4 linked regions of the Oryzias latipes genome follow. The protein of the gene in region 1 purifies or fractionates together with the protein of each later gene. This does not show direct contact. Links are inferred from orthologs where the notes say so. Each region holds a gene or a part of one and is shown in the gene's direction. Other genes may lie near its edges.

Region 1 (3,512 bases):
GCACCTCAAATATAGTGTTGCTCTCTGCTCATCTTACAGCTCCTTTTATTTCTGTCAGTGGACGGGTATTTCTTTACTTTTCTAAAGCTGGGTCAGCTTTCTTATGCTCTCATATGAAGTGCAGGTTTTAGGCTGTGCAGCTATTTTGCTGTCAGGCTCTTGTGTTGAAAGCAACGTCTAAGTGTGCCAAAGTTCAATTTTATTTCTTGTTTATTTCTTGTTTTCTCATTGGAAAATGGGAGCAGCTCTGCCCTGGCAACAAAAGTAGGCTATTTGCATACTGCGTTGTGATTGGTCTGTGCGTTGATGGGCTTGCCAAATCACGCTGTATCTCTGTGGTGATAGGCTATGCTAATTAGGTGCTGTTGCTGGGATTCTGAATAGTGGTTACTGTGTAGCACTGGTGAATTGTGTTGTCTGGTGAGAGATGCTGATAGCTGAACATGCTATTTAATAATTTTTTGATTCCTTCTGGCTTAAAATGAAGGATGATTCACCGTACAGTGTGGAGATGCTGTATTCTCACCCCTTTTCACTGTTAAACTGGCTGTTTTTTCCCCTTTTCCTCACAAAGGTTGACATATTTCTGCTGTGTTTTGATTTTTTTGGGGTTGTCCTTTGATTGCATTGTTTAACGTGTACATGTTTAACATAGCACTGTGTATAAACCTGACATTTAATTCTTTAATTTACTAGATTTTGCTGTTTTTGTTGGTGTTTATCATCATTTGAGATTGATTATTAACACAAATGTAAATAATGCTGTTAATTTGCATTTATAAATTCCTATAGATAATTTCTTTTCATCTTAAACTAAGCTGAAGTTTTTTTTGTAAATCTAAACAACAAATAATGTTTCTTTATTATATTGTTTTACCTGTAAATAACATAATACATCTTGCTGGCTTTCTTTGTAGCGTTAAATCTCTGATGACCTCTTTTATTTTCCTTTTTCACTTTTGTATGTTTCTCTGTTCAATGACTTTAAAGGGAACTTTAATTTCCTTTTTAGGAGGAGAGACTTCAGCATGCAAACCTTCGTCCGTCCGGCTTGCGCCCTCTTTTTCTTTACACACTGCTGGTCTTCAGATGGCTGCTCCAATGCCCCATACGCACCAGCAGTACAGTGACCGCCACCAGCCAACCACTGACCAATCTGTTACGGTTTTACCGTACAGCGACCAGACACCACAGCTCACTGCCAATCAGGTACAATCACCCTTCCCACTGCCCTTTTAGGATTTACAGGAATAGCTAAACTTAATTGCACACAAAAGTTTGCTCCCTTTTTTTAAACAAGTATCACTAGGCAGAGTAGCTGCATGTCAAATGTCTTTCTGTGTAATTGTGTCACATTGTGTTAACAGCTTTGAAGTTTAAACACAAACCCTGTAAGAGGAACTTTTTACTTCTAAAGTTGTGTTTCTTTTGTTTGTTTGTAAAATGTTGTTGTACTTTTATTTCAGAGGCACATGCCCCAGTGCTTTCGTGACCCAACTTCAGCTCCCCTGAGGAAGCTCTCCATCGACCTTATCAAAACATACAAACACATCAATGAGGTGAGGCTTTGCTTTAGTAAAAGTTCAAATCATTCTTTGACATTTGTTTTCCCCTTGTTTTAAGATGTTTGCTATTTCAACATTCTTTTTTTTTAAATTGGTAGTCTTTATTATTTTATGAATTTGTTGTTCATAAAGATAGATATTTTTAATTTATAAGAAAAAAACATTATTATTCATTTAAAAAAACAGGAATTTTATACATGAAAAACCTAATTTGTTGGAGCAAAATCCAAAGGAACATTTAACATTTCCTGAAGAAATCTCTGCATGTGCTTTTCTGAAATGCATTCAATTTTCTTTTTTTCTTTTTCAGGTTTATTATGCAAAAAAGAAGCGGCGGCACCAACAGGGTCAGGGTGAAGACTCCAGTCACAAAAAGGAGAGGAAGGTTTTCAATGATGGCTATGACGATGATAACTATGACTACATCGTCAAGAATGGGGAGAAGTGGATGGACCGCTATGAGATCGATTCCTTAATAGGAAAAGGATCATTCGGACAGGTGAGGAATTAAAACTGACAGTCTGTTATTTGTCCACTTCTAAGGGGTTCCAGCTTTCTGACCTTCCTTTTTTTGGTTTTAAATCTTGATGTTTAGTGTAACAAATGTGCTTCAGATATAATACTTTTAACATATTTAATACTGGTTTTGTTCAATTCTCAGGTTGTGAAAGCTTATGACCGAGTAGAGCAAGAATGGGTTGCCATTAAGATCATTAAGAACAAGAAAGCTTTCCTTAATCAAGCCCAGATTGAAGTGCGCCTTCTGGAGCTTATGAACAAACATGATACGGAGATGAAATACTATATTGGTAATTTACTTTTGATGTCCCACATACAGAACAAATCCAACGGCTTGCAGTGTCAGCGACTAACGCGTCCAATTTTTGTTTCTTTGCAGTCCACCTGAAACGTCACTTCATGTTCCGTAACCATCTCTGCCTCGTGTTTGAAATGCTGTCATATAATTTATACGACCTGCTTCGAAATACCAACTTCCGCGGCGTCTCACTCAATCTCACCCGGAAGTTTGCCCAGCAGCTATGCACGGCACTACTCTTCCTGGCCACCCCCGAGCTCAGCATCATCCACTGTGACCTGAAGCCCGAGAACATCCTCCTTTGTAACCCCAAGAGGAGTGCCATCAAAATAGTGGACTTTGGCAGTTCATGCCAACTGGGACAAAGGGTATCTACCATCATATATTTCATCTGCTATACAGTCTATGTGTGTTTGTGAGAAATGGTTTGCAATTTTCAACAAAAGCAATGCGCTTTACAGTCACCCTCACTTCCCACGCTTTGTGTTTGTAGATATACCAGTATATCCAGAGTCGCTTCTACCGTTCTCCAGAAGTGTTGCTGGGAATGCCCTATGACCTGGCCATCGACATGTGGTCCTTGGGTTGCATCTTGGTAGAGATGCATACCGGAGAGCCTCTATTTAGTGGAGCCAATGAGGTATAAAACATGATAAAAATATCAAAGACATATGTGGAGCTTATTGATAACAGGAATATCGAAAAGTCACCTTGTTTGTAGTTCTTCAATAAAAAAGTACCCTTAAAACTGGATTTGTAAGCCGTGGTGTGTTCCTACAAGAGCTTAGAAGCATTTTGACATTTACCCTCATTTATAATGAGTGCAAATACTTATTAAAAGATGCATTTGGTTTCTTCAGGTGGACCAGATGAACAAAATAGTCGAGGTTCTTGGCATCCCACCCAATCACATAATGGACCTAGCCCCAAAAGCCAGGAAGTTCTTTGAGAAGCTTTCAGATGGTACATGGAGTGTTAAGAAGACCAAAGATGGCAAAAGGGTGAGTTGACAGCTTTAACGCCAACTGATGGGTGCTGATGACGGAACTGTCTTGTTTGATGTCTTGATATGCACATTAAAAAGCTTTACATGTCTTTGGTTTCTTTGTAGTATAAGCCTCCAGCTTCGC
Region 2 (4,134 bases), on another chromosome or scaffold:
ATATAATTAGAGTCGTGTTATGTTCAAAATATTTTAATTCCATTTCCTTTCTGTTTATTCCAGCGCATATTCATTCTCATGAAATATTGTGTTTTAGTTAGCCACAAAATTCTATGCAGCCTTTTAGGGCTCTTTTAAATTTATTCCTAATTTCAAAACACTGTCATTAGCATGTTTTAGCATGGGCCCCGTTACATAAACACTTTCTAAAAGGCATTATCAGACAATGAAGAGAATGCCTTTTCTAACATAAGCTTTTAACACGGTTTCAACCCTTTTTTGGGCACCTTTAGAACCTCATACTCCTAAACTTCTATGACCATATCTTGAGGTTGATCTAAGCATGTTCATATATGCCACCTTAATTATCAACCACATTGTTTGAGGTATTTGTGAGTTACAATAAGCATTTGAGTCACATCAAGCCAAATAAATTTATAAGCAGACACTAAAAGTTGCTTTTTAAAAGGCCAGTTCAGACATCAACTACTTCCCCACTGTCTCCAAGTCCACACACGTAGATCGTTCCCCATTTTAACAAACTGATTTAATATCAAGGGGATTTTGCAAACCCCAATAAACAAACTAATACATAAGGAATACGTCAATTAAAAACTAAAACAAATTTCTGCTTTCCTCACTTAGCTGTTTTAATCAAATAAAAAAAATTCTGACCTTCTGTCTGTAAAAGCAGTAGCTGTAAGTCTAAGTTCAGTTTGTTCAAAAGCCAAAAGGACAGATTGCTGCCACCAACAAGCTTTTTAGTATCAAAATGCTCACCAGAGGTTAAAATGAAACAAGAGATAACATATTATGACAAATTTAATTAATTTAATTCATTAAAGTTGATCATGCACACATTCTAAGTCAGATTGCCTTTAAGATTTGCTAAAAGAAACTCTTTGTCTAACCTTGCATTTATATTGAAAAAATCTTAAACATTTAGGTATTTTTGCCAAAAACTACAATAAGGTGATTTTTTCTGCTTTTTATTCCGAGTAGTAGACTTTTTATATTTAATATAATTAATATATTCAATATTTTGTATTTAATTATATTTTTTCCTGTCTGTTTAATTTTTTCCAAATTAAAAATAGTTTAAAAAAAAAAAGTATTTCTGAAAATATTGCCATCCTCAGATTCTATGTAAATATGTTGACTTTAAGATTAAAAAACTATGTTTTACACAGCTAAGCTGTACTAAATCAAATCGTATCCCAATTAAAGGAAAATATGTTGTGCTTTTTTTTAATGGGACCCATCTGGCCCCACGAGCCAGGATTTTCTAGAGACGCCCCTGGAATCAGCCCCGCCCACTCGGGATTTGGCCCGTGACGCTGCTTGTACACGTAGTCCAGAAGGATGTGTTCATTGAAGATGGTGGTGTGTCAGACCAAGTGTCCTGCGTATTTGTAAGAATTGACTTTTATCTGTAAACATTTGTGAGATCAAATGACCCTATTTTGATAATATAATTGACACTTTTGACAGCTGAACTTTTCATTTGTTTTATTAAGAAGCATTAAAGTGTTCACGAGTAGTTAGCGAAGGCTAGGTAGTTAGCCATGCTAACTAACCAGTAATGCTAAGGCTAACTGACCAGGCAGTGAACCTGTTAATTAACACTCGACGAGTGGCCAGAGTCCTATCGCATATCTGTTTGTCATTTTCAGTGCAAATTTTACTCGAATTGAAGCTGATCACTTGTTTTTGGTCTGTTTCGTTTGATTTTTACATACTTAAAACATTTGTTTTGCTGGATATGTCGTTCAGGACATGTAGCGTTCCCGTTAGCTTTGTAAAGCCAAGCACTCGCACTCTTCCTCTTTGGCACTCTGATCTGTACAGGCTAACTCTACATGATCGAAGGGAGTACGCCTTGGTTATGTAACAACAAGTTTGAGAGTATTGAGAGAAAGTCGAGAGTTTTCAATTTGCATTTGTGACTTATCAAAAGTTAGAATGCCAGCAACGTTAGCGCTAGCTTACCGGGTTGCAACCGGTCTATGTCAATATAAACCACTTAAAGATCCGGGATCACGTAGCAACTCTAGTGGAAAACACAAGCTGTGCCCTTTTAGCTAGCTAGCTAAAATGTCTTATTCCTTTCCTAATCTGCATTTGAGTATATCTGATTGATTTACTCATTTGTGTTGTCAGTTGGCATATTTTATCAGAATTTCACGAATTAATGTGTAACTTTACAAAAATGCTGTCATATTTTCTGTGAATGAAAAATGTGAAAAAACAAAGCGCAGCTGTTTTAAATGTGTCAAAGTTTCTTCTTGATCTCTAAAGTCATAGAAATGTTGTTTTTAGTTTAAAATAATCACTAACTTAATGTTAATGAAACCTTTTATAGTCATGAATATATAATAGTGATAGACCATAGTTTTTTCAGTATCTTTGTACAAAAGTTTAAGTGTTAAAGACTCACTCTGATAAAAGATTGTGTATTTCAAATGTCCTTGTGGCATTTTTCTCCTGATGGAGAACATATATAAAGAAAATTAAGCATTTCTGAGTTTTTCTTTATTAAAATCGTTGTGAATCAGGAGCAGGTGAAAAAATGTTGTTGGAAAAAACTTGTAGTAGTGAGTAGTAGTAGCAGCTCCCTTCTCCGATCCATTCAAATGCGAATAGATCCATTATTTTCCGCATCCGAGCTGGCATCAGGCTCCAAACTGTACAACTGGCTATTTCCGATGTTGCTCGCCATTTTTGTTAGGCTGGGGGTGTGAAGGGTTGTAAGCTAGAAGGAGAGAGTGTAAACAAAAGGATGAAAGGAAGTAGTGTCAGGCTTACATTACACTGCACGAACAGTTTTGCCCACAACTTGGAGGCAAAATTTTAATGAACCACTGCCGCTCTGCAAAAACTATGTCCTAGAAAACAACACAGTTGTTTGGTGGGGGTTGTTTTTGTGGCTAAAAACGGCATAATCATAATTAAAAGACCACTGGAAACGCTTTTAAAAGATGATCTGAGTGGGACTATATTTGTTTTTGTTCAAACCATAAATAAATGTTTAAAAAGTATAAAATTCTAAACTCAAAAGCTCAGATTTTCTGCAATTCAGTACAAAAATTTTAATTGACACTAAATCCAAATCATGTTACTGCAGTTTAACACTGAATTCACATTATGTATCCTTTTTTAAAATAATACATACTTAAATACAATAACTATTATTGCTACAACCAGAACCAATTCAGAACTCTATGAACAATTGCCACGTTGCGCTGTTTATACAAATAAAGGTGTGGATGACTTCATCAAGGGGACACGGGTCTGCTTTGACTGCTCCTTTTCTTTCTGTACAGCTATGCCTGACTGCGCCTGAGTGTCTTCAGTGATACCTTACAGAGTGATTGGGATCCGCTCGTTTTCTAAACATGCAACCTCCTCCTCGGGCTGGACCTCCGGGAGCCTCCGGCCCTCCTCCCTCTGGGCCAAATATGTTTCGTAGGACCAGGCCTCAGAAGTCTGCAGCAGCGACTGGTACAATGCCTCCTGCTACCCAACCCATGACAAATCCTTTTGCTTTTGGTCAAGCTCCTCCCCCTATGGCTACAGGTGGTATCCCAACAATACCAACGGGCAACCTTCCTCAAATGCAAACACCACCTAGTGCCACGTATTCCCAGCATGGGTCGGGGCTGCCTCCACAGCCGCAATCGCTGGGCGGTGTTCCGTTTGCTCCATCTGTTCCTCCACCATCCACTTTGCCAGGGGTTCCCCTCTTAGACCATCACAGTGCAGTACCTCCTGGAGTTCTACCTGCTCCAAGTCAAACAGAACATACATCTTCAAATAGTGAACAGGGCTACTTTAATTCGAGAGATCAAACGTCGTCCGTGTCGACCGAGTCCCCACCAATGGCAGCAACTTCAGCACCCAGTCAGACACATTTTAACCAATCATTTCAAGGACAACTGCCTCCTTCTAATCCTGTTCACTTTCAGCCGCACCCCCCTGCATCATCTTTTCCTCAGTGGGCTCCTGAACACACAAGTCGCCCCCCATCAGTTCAAAACTATTTCCAGCCTACTAGTGATCCTCCACCACAGCTATTGAATATAGATCCACAGCCTCAAATGTACCCCCCTCACAGTCAGTCGCCTCATCACAACG
Region 3 (4,257 bases), on another chromosome or scaffold:
TTTATTCTTTAAACAAAGTCAAACCTCATTAGATTCCTCCACATTTTTATCACTTGTTGAATTCAGTTACACATCCTCTATACTTTAATATTTTTATTTTCTGATGTCGGCAAAGAAATCCACGACACCTAATTGGGTTACAGTTTTTATTTTAAGGAGTTAATCATGATGCAACATTTTTAAAGTGCTTAAGAATTTAATTCAGTTTCTTTATTTTAACATGTTGATAAAGGAGTGTTTTTTTAACCGCACAACACTTGACATGAATACTTTAAGCATTCACCAAGAAAAACTTCTAGTTATCATAAAAGATAAGACCCAAACTACATGTGGTGTATTTTGTTTCTGACACGGTTTATTCATATTAAAATTTGGTTTTAAATATGTAGTTTATTAAGCTACATTTATTTACAAAAATGTCAAAACTAAAAAGTTTTGGATAAATTTGGATAAACTGATATGCCTTTTAATTACCCTTAAAGTGTTCAAAGGTCAATTTTAAAGAGAACCTCAATTATTGAAAAGAAAATGGCCAGAAAAAGAGTTTTTGTAGTCTAAAATCAGAAAGACTCCTCCTCTGGTCAAGCAAGCCATTTTGTCCAATTGTTTTTTTAAACATCTGAAGTTCATTCGAATATGATACAAAAATTGAATCAAATATGTTTTTAAAAAAATAATTCGGGTTGACATCAGTTTCGACATTCATTATTCCTCAAATCAAATCAAAACAATCTTTGTTTATACTGTACAGCACTTTTCAGGTTTTTTTTATAGTGACAAAATTCAGAATTCAATACAGAAGGCTGATGGCCAAGAAATCATTCAGTTTACATATCTTATAAATGAATAATCAACTACACATAAAACAATTAAGTGGGGAAAAAATAAAATTAAAATGGGTGTATCCTAATTAGAAATAATAAATTAAAAAACTTTAAAAGCCCTTCATATCTGGAAACATGTCCCTTCATATCTTAGTTAGGGCCCTGAACTTTGACAGTGGGTGTACTACATTTAGTAATACTTCTCCCTCCCTTTTGGATTGTGTTGGGTGAATACTTTTGACTTCATTTCTTGCTCTACGCACGTTTTCACGTGTCTGAAATCATTTTCTTGAACTGAACTAACACAAAGTGCTGTAGACCAGGATAATAAGTGAACTCCATCCTCGTGACAGAACATGTTCCTGATTGTCTTCACCCTCCAAACCTCATCTGAACATCGAGAGGAGCCCCTGCAGTGACCCTCAGAGGTCCTAGAGGCTTACAGACCACACACACCATGTGAATGGACGCTCCAAGCACAGAAAATGAACGTTTTCACAAAGTGGGCGGGAGTTTTCCAGCTGGGCCGTGTGCTCTGATGACAGACCCACCCGAAAGCCAATCGGCGCTCCGCACAAATCTGCATCAACCAGTGAGAAATCCTCTGGTGCGCCCATATGCTGCACGGGATAGTTGTGCAGGTTGAGCTGTTGTGTTGTCACTTTGCAGTAATGTTTGAGGCATGTTCTGCGCCGGAGCGCATTTCTGCGTAATGACGGAGAACGCGCAGATTACCGGGACGCGTTAAAGTGCAAACCCACGCAGCTCGTTCTTCTTATCGAAAGAAAAGAATCCATTGAAAAGAAAGATGAAAGTGTGTGCAGAAGAAAGCTCGGGAGTTGTGCCAATCAAGAGGACTCGCCGCGGTTTCTTCGCTTTGGATGAACTGAGTGCGCGCAGAGAGGAGCTGCTGTGAGCCGTGAGCGCGGAGCAAAGAAGCGGTGTGTTTTTTTTTACAAGCCCGGCTGCGGGACGCAAGAGGCGAGATGTCAGGCCGGAGTGGAGGAGCGCCCCGGGGGTGCAGCAACCCAAGCCTGCAACCCCTCAGAGCCACGGTCCCGTACCAGCTCCAGAGGGGCTCCGCTCTCCTCTGCAGGGAGGTCAAAACGGGTAAATACGCACGCAAGAGGAGGGGGTGTCAGTGCGCATTCACCTCCATGTGGTCCAAAGCTTTATTGTTTTATGTGAGACAAAAAAAGTGCACAACTGCTCAACAATGAGTGAGTGATGCAGATCCTTTTGACTAGATAACTAAATCATAGATGTATGTATAATAGATCGAGTTGCATGAGGGGATCTTCTAGAACCAATCCAGGGCTTTTGTTGCAGTTTTTATTAGTGGACAAACACATTCACTTAAATATCTAGACAACATTCCGCATACTGTGACTCAAGAGACAGTAGAAAATCTGCATTATTACAATTTAGTTTCGAGAAAAAAAGTCACATTTCTCAGCCTATTGGAGAACCAAATGGACCAGTTGTCCAATATTTTCTTTTCCAAAAGTGGGCTTACAAATACAGTTTCAGCACGATGTGAAAGTCAAGCTACACTCCTCTCATAATGTTATTTGGACACTTAGCTGCTCCTCCTTTTGCACTCTGACCTAAAGGCTTTCTCTTGCTGCATGCTTGATGCTAACGCAGCAGCGGATTTGAAAGGATTCTGATTCTGTTGTTTCTCTATTCACATCTGCATGTTGTTTATGCGTCCCTGCAACCCTGGACGCTGAGAGCGAAGCCATGTGTGCTCTCAGGTTGGTGGTAAATGTATTAGCAGCATGTTTCCAGGTCAAATGCGTGATCCTCACCTGCCAGACTTTTACTTTTACTCAGTTTTGCTGCACACATTAAGAAAAAGGGATCTTGACACAAACTAGCACTATGGTAAACCACCGGATCGTCTTACTTACTCATAAGATTACTACAGGTAGAACGCGACTACGTCGCCATAGAAACAGGAAGTGAAAGTCTCCTTGATTCCATGTACATCCTCTCTGTTTCTTAAAGCGGACAGAACCTCGGCGCGCCCACCGAAACCCACAATCCGCAGAACTCTCTCCCTGGACACAATCGTGGGACCCTATCTGCAGGGACAGTGGCCCAAAGAGGCGGAGGGCTCTGCGGTCACCTGTGTCAACGACAAAGCCACCCAGGTGAATGTCACTGGCCACCGACGTGTAAATTAGTGATGAAAACACCCGTGTAATTACAGCAGGTGAAGATGACTGCAGAATAGCAGTGATCCTGCCAGTGCGTAAAACCTGTTGCTTCATGTTGCAGATAAGAAAAAGCAGGCAGCTTGAATTCCAAATGCTTGTCAGCTCCTTCGCTTGTAGGATTTCTATAACAGACAAGATATCTGATGTTGGCTCTGCAGGTGTCTTCTTGTGGTTCCAGTTGGAGGCAGAGGGTGAGAATCAGCCAACTGGAAATAGTTGTTTTTTTGTTCTTCTTTATACTCTGCTCTTCTACTCCCCCCCCCCCACTGTATCGGCTCCAATCTAGTGCACAAAGCCCAGAGTAACATCTTCAGGCTCCGCAGCTTCATCGTCGCTCCTGGCACGGTTGAAACCCACATGAACCCCCTTTGCTTCCATTGTGAGGAACAAACCCCTCCTGACCTCATTATACAGACACCCCATCCCCCAGCACTCTCCTCAAGCACACTCGCACAAGCAGCCCACCCCCCCCTTTGACAAAGTTTCTCTGCATTATGTCAGATGGTGTAACTGCTTACTTCCACACGAACTGCCGTAACGCCACAGATGCTCATCGACGGATCAACTGACCTCAGATCAGCCACCAGTCATACAACTGTCATAACCACTGGGAACAAGATCCATTTATGTTCTAAAATGTGTTCATCCTTTGAGAAAACGCTCCTGGAATGAGCCTTCGACTCGGCTAAAGCGGCGTTGGAGAACATTTCCACATGTGGATGTCAAACGTTGACGTCTTTCACTGAATTAAATCAGTAATCTGAAGTCTACAGGTTTATAAGTGACAAAATATTGGTGAATGACAGCTATTTCATTTGTTCCTGAATGGTTTTCCAAGCTTGAAACTCAAGTGGTCCAAGCGCGGTGCTATCTCCCTGTCTTTTTATAGGTCTGTATCTCATGATCCCTGGCTCATATTTTGGGGAGGGTGGAGTTGTTGGTTTTGGATGAGGTTGGGGGGGGTTGTAACTCTATACCAACGTCCCTCTATGACCGACTCCTGCCGCATTCTGAGCTTTCCAGCCAGGCACCGGGCGTTTTAGTCAACCGGAGAGCGGGTCGTATCTGATTTTTACCTGCTCGCCGCGGCCTTTCTGTGGCGCTGTGAAGCCGACAGCTTAAAAGGAGGTTTTGTTGTGTAAGACGGAGAGCCACTATGCTGCAGGGAGAGAGATCTGAATCGCAGCATGCATCGTTAGCTTAGGCAGGCT
Region 4 (4,083 bases), on another chromosome or scaffold:
GTCGGAGGCCGTGGGCTTGGGGACGATCAACACTGGAGTCCGCTTCCCCTTCTCTGCTTCCCGATCAAGCGCCACGCTCGCACTAGTCGCACTCTTAGTTTATGGACCCGAATCTTGTCCTGCCAGCTTCCCCCGGACAGCACGCATCACCCGCCGACAGTAATATCCCGAACGGGTTTTAAAAACCGCCAACTGCTCTACCGGGATAGCTAATCTGTTGTCCGCTAGTTTCAAATGTGATATTAATGTGTTATTAAGAACGTTAATACAACAAAACAAAAACAGCTGATGGGATGATGCGTCATTTTGAGGTGAGTCACCATTGGCTAATGGGAACAAACTAGTTTGTCTTTAGCCGCATTTCATTGGCTAGATCTTTCCAAGCTGCCATATGATTGGACAAAGCAGCGAGACATCAAATAAGACCCGCCTTCTTGGAAAAATGTTACTGTTGATTGGTCAGGGGCACCTCGGGTTTTGTCAGGAGGAAATGTTTTGGTGATTTCATTGGATAGCACAAGGAAAGCCAACTCAAAAACAACCCCCCTTTTGGTTAAATTCTATAAATTACGTCAATTTTATTTGTCATAGAGCTTTATGCAAATTCTACATGAACCTTGGCTTATGAAAACTTGTTCTGCTGGATTTTATTTGTTAATTTCTCCCCAAAAATTGTGTCTTTTGGTTCTGTTTCAACTACTTTTGTTGTTTCTTTGTTCAACTACTTTGTTGTTTTTTTTGTCCGTCCTCTATGTTGTCTTCTTATTTGACTTGTAACGTTTTCATTTTCCAAAGTAAGTAAATAAATGCAAGTATAAGTTGATTTATTTAGTTTTTAAAATAAAATAAAAAGTGAAGTTGAAAAAAAAGAGGAAACATTTATTTTTCTAATCAACTTTATTAACAAATATTCTGTAACCGACTATCAAACATTGAAACACTGTGCAAATGACAACATTTTGACATTTACCAGAAAAATAAACAAAAATGGGAAAAAAGCCATAATAATAGCAAGATAAAACAGGTAAAATAAATAAAAAAAATAATAATAAAGATAAGGGATTCTGCGAAAGTCTCGAATGTGACCATGTGTCAACTGTTCTAACAGCTTTTTCGTAGTGTAGGATTCAGTACTATTTAGAAACAGAATCCTTTTTTTTCTGAAAAATAAAAACTTTTAAACCTATACTTTAAATCAAAATTTGGTGCGATCGCTTTAAGGTTGCCAGGGGAAACGGGCTCATATGTCAGAACGAGAAGGATTGACGTCAATGACGGCTGTTGATTGGTCCTCAACCGTATCCGGTGGGGCAGCGGTCCAGGGCCAGGAAAAAAATCGAAGTGAGGAGGAGGATCGGGTAACGGGGCGCTTTATAAAATATCTAATCTACCGAGTGTCTGTCGAAAGGCTCGGTGGGATTTTACAGTTTCAAGTGAGTGTTTTTGTTGTTTCGGCGCGTGGAGCGTTTGACCTTTAAATGGGTGAAATTTGTTTCCTTCGTTCCTCGTTTGTTTATGCTAGAACTCAAGATGGCGTCATTGAAGGGGAGCTTTGCCTTTGCACTGAGCTAGCCAGCTAGGCATCACACGAGACGCGCTCATTACGGCACACCGTAGGCCACAGATAGTCGATTAGGATCTTAAATTGGACAAAGAAATAACTCATCATAGTAATAAGAATCGATTTTTGTGTGTGTTTTTAATGTAATCCTCTGGCTGTAGTTGACTTGGCTGTTGCTTTCTGCTTGTCGAACTAGCTATCCTGACGCTAGTAGACGAGGCTCGAGGAACATAAGCTAACATATTTCCGTGGTTGTAAATAAACTGTTGTTTTCTGCATGTAGTTTTTTTTAAGTATAATTCATTGTAATGCATCCTTACAGTTAGTTACATGACATCACATTGTTTTTGCTAAATACGTACTGTTTCTGTCGTTAACGCTTCTCCATGTAATTTAATGAGACAAAACATTTGCATTTAATATTTTATTACTCTGTTATTAGATAAATGTAATAGATGCAAACACAATAGACAATGTATTTATTCCTAAATAACACATCAGACCTGAACAGATTATTGTCTGGCTTGTATTTTGCTCTAGTTTGGACTAAACCAAACTCAAGTTTCTACCTCCTGTCGTAGTTAGCTACAGTAAAACGATGCCAGACTCATTTTTGATCACATGGTTCGTAATCTCCCTCCTATTATTGGTGTGTGTGCGTGGAGAATGACTGTGGAGAAGACAAAGCGCATAGTTTGATTTGTTCCCCGGGCCTCGTCCTTGACCTTTTATTCATCTAAAGGGCACACATTGATCCCAACTAGGCTTTAGAAATGCATCTGAAACCATGACTGAGATCACAGTTGGTCAAGCTTTATTCAGGCTCTTTAGCTCTTAAGCGGTAGTGTAACCTAAAAATGTACATCAAAGTAAAAATAACTAATATTTCATGATTATTTCACCCTTTCTTCCAGAGGATTTTTCAATTCTAGAATGAGAGAGTTCATTCTTATGGAGAATTTAATCCCTGATCTTTAATGCCCAACATATTTGTTTAATATTGTTCAGTTATGCCTCCTTAATACAGATTTCGTTGCTCTCTTTCAGTTTGATCTCTTTAGTGAGATATGTTTGATCGTATCATATGACCACTTTTTGCTCTGTGGTTGTACTCATCCTGTTTTTGAGCTCTTGGGTTGTCTTTGTCTCTCATGACATTGGTCTCTGCCTATCTTTTTTGTTTTCCTCCCCATCTTGAGAAGAAAGTTTTAAATTTACATCACTGAATCTGTGAATCCCACGTTGCTGATTTGACATCCAGCTGTTTTTCTTTTTCTTTTCCCCACTCCAGCACAAGGGTAGAGGTCACAGAGCAGGGTTGCGGTTGTCGTCATGGCATCTGGAAGCACGAGCAGCGAGGAGGAGCGGAGTCTGAGGGAGTGTGAGCAGTACGTGCAGAAACACAACATCCAGCAGTTGCTGAAGGACTGCATTGTCCAGCTGTGCACCTCCAGGCCCGACAGGCCCATGGCTTTCCTCCGGGAGTACTTCGAGAGGCTGGAGAAGGTTGGTTTGCCCTTAAACTGTAACTTTTAGTGGACAGATGTTAGGATGAGCATCCCAGAACTCACGGCTTAGTCACAGTCTTCAAAGACTGTGACTAAGCCGTGAGTTCTTATTTAACTTTCACACTGGCTGAAGAAGGGGCTGCACGGTGGCACAGTGGTTAGCACTCTTGCGTCATAGCAAGAAGTCCCCCGGTTCAAGTCCTGGCTGAGTGTGAGAGTGTGTGATATGTGGCCCTGCGACAGACTGGCGACCTGTCCAGGATGTCCCCTGCCTTCGTCAGCCCCGTGACCCCGAAAGGGACAAAATGGAAGAAGATGAAAATGACTTGCTGAAGAAGATCATATTATTTATTATGTATTTATTTGTATATGTTTTATTTAGCATTAAACATATACAATCTGTTCTGTTCAGATCATTTTTTGATCTATTTTAAGAGTATTTCCAGCCGTCTTTTAACTATGACTATATTGTTTTTAGCCAAATTGAAAAAACCTGTAGAGCGCAGAGCGTCAGTAGCTCCTTAGAAATTCACCTCTGAGTTGTGGACGGGACCGTTGGCGCAGACCAATTCCGTCCTCAATGCTGAGAGCTCAGCACAGGGAGCTCATGGAGTATTTTCTACGCCATAAAGACAATCTTTTGTCGTTAGCGTCTGTTTCACAACAGTATGAATAAAGAAATACTCAGTAATGCAATTTTGATTTTAATATGTCATCAGAAAAATGCCACAAGAACCTGTTAAAAACATAAACACAGTATTTTCACTGGTGTGGGCTTCTAAAGTTATGTGTTTTTCTGTCAGTGTGCTAAAGCATGTGCGTATATATTGATATATGCACATTTTTATATCCATTTTTGCATTTTTTTCTGATTGTATAGTAGGCAAACCAAAAAAGTTAAATAAGTAAACATTAAATAACAAAACACAAAACAAAAAAAAAATCAAAAAATGTCTTTTCTTAACTCTGCAGGGGCATTTAAAAAAATCTTTTTAGCTTTTACCAGTGTCTGAA

The links.
Region 2: the proteins of dyrk1a (region 1) and sec16a purify together in Homo sapiens (affinity purification with mass spectrometry, with the first as the bait; 3 studies listed by BioGRID). This does not show direct contact. The link is inferred for Oryzias latipes from reciprocal best matches to the Homo sapiens genes DYRK1A and SEC16A.
Region 3: the proteins of dyrk1a (region 1) and fam117a purify together in Homo sapiens (affinity purification with mass spectrometry; 4 studies listed by BioGRID and IntAct, with this or other methods). This does not show direct contact. The link is inferred for Oryzias latipes from reciprocal best matches to the Homo sapiens genes DYRK1A and FAM117A.
Region 4: the proteins of dyrk1a (region 1) and prkar1a purify together in Homo sapiens (affinity purification with mass spectrometry; 6 studies listed by BioGRID and IntAct, with this or other methods). This does not show direct contact. The link is inferred for Oryzias latipes from reciprocal best matches to the Homo sapiens genes DYRK1A and PRKAR1A.

What each region holds. Positions count from the first base shown.
Region 1 is NC_019871.2:12,328,085-12,331,596, forward strand, and holds part of dyrk1a (dual specificity tyrosine-phosphorylation-regulated kinase 1A), read left to right. Parts: intron 1-1,012; coding exon 1,013-1,209; intron 1,210-1,466; coding exon 1,467-1,559; intron 1,560-1,875; coding exon 1,876-2,064; intron 2,065-2,226; coding exon 2,227-2,374; intron 2,375-2,463; coding exon 2,464-2,750; intron 2,751-2,875; coding exon 2,876-3,022; intron 3,023-3,242; coding exon 3,243-3,383; intron 3,384-3,493; coding exon 3,494-3,512. UniProt on the Homo sapiens protein: Dual-specificity kinase which possesses both serine/threonine and tyrosine kinase activities. Exhibits a substrate preference for proline at position P+1 and arginine at position P-3.
Region 2 is NC_019870.2:8,822,962-8,827,095, reverse strand, and holds the start of sec16a (protein transport protein Sec16A), read left to right. Parts: upstream 1-1,326; 5' UTR 1,327-1,412; intron 1,413-3,323; 5' UTR 3,324-3,395; coding exon 3,396-4,134. UniProt on the Homo sapiens protein: Acts as a molecular scaffold that plays a key role in the organization of the endoplasmic reticulum exit sites (ERES), also known as transitional endoplasmic reticulum (tER).
Region 3 is NC_019866.2:4,184,066-4,188,322, forward strand, and holds the start of fam117a (protein FAM117A), read left to right. Parts: upstream 1-1,449; 5' UTR 1,450-1,810; coding exon 1,811-1,934; intron 1,935-2,834; coding exon 2,835-2,980; intron 2,981-3,204; coding exon 3,205-3,237; intron 3,238-3,996; exon of another isoform or gene 3,997-4,257.
Region 4 is NC_019877.2:4,028,807-4,032,889, forward strand, and holds the start of prkar1a (cAMP-dependent protein kinase type I-alpha regulatory subunit), read left to right. Parts: upstream 1-1,275; 5' UTR 1,276-1,433; intron 1,434-2,852; 5' UTR 2,853-2,893; coding exon 2,894-3,067; intron 3,068-4,083. UniProt on the Homo sapiens protein: Regulatory subunit of the cAMP-dependent protein kinases involved in cAMP signaling in cells.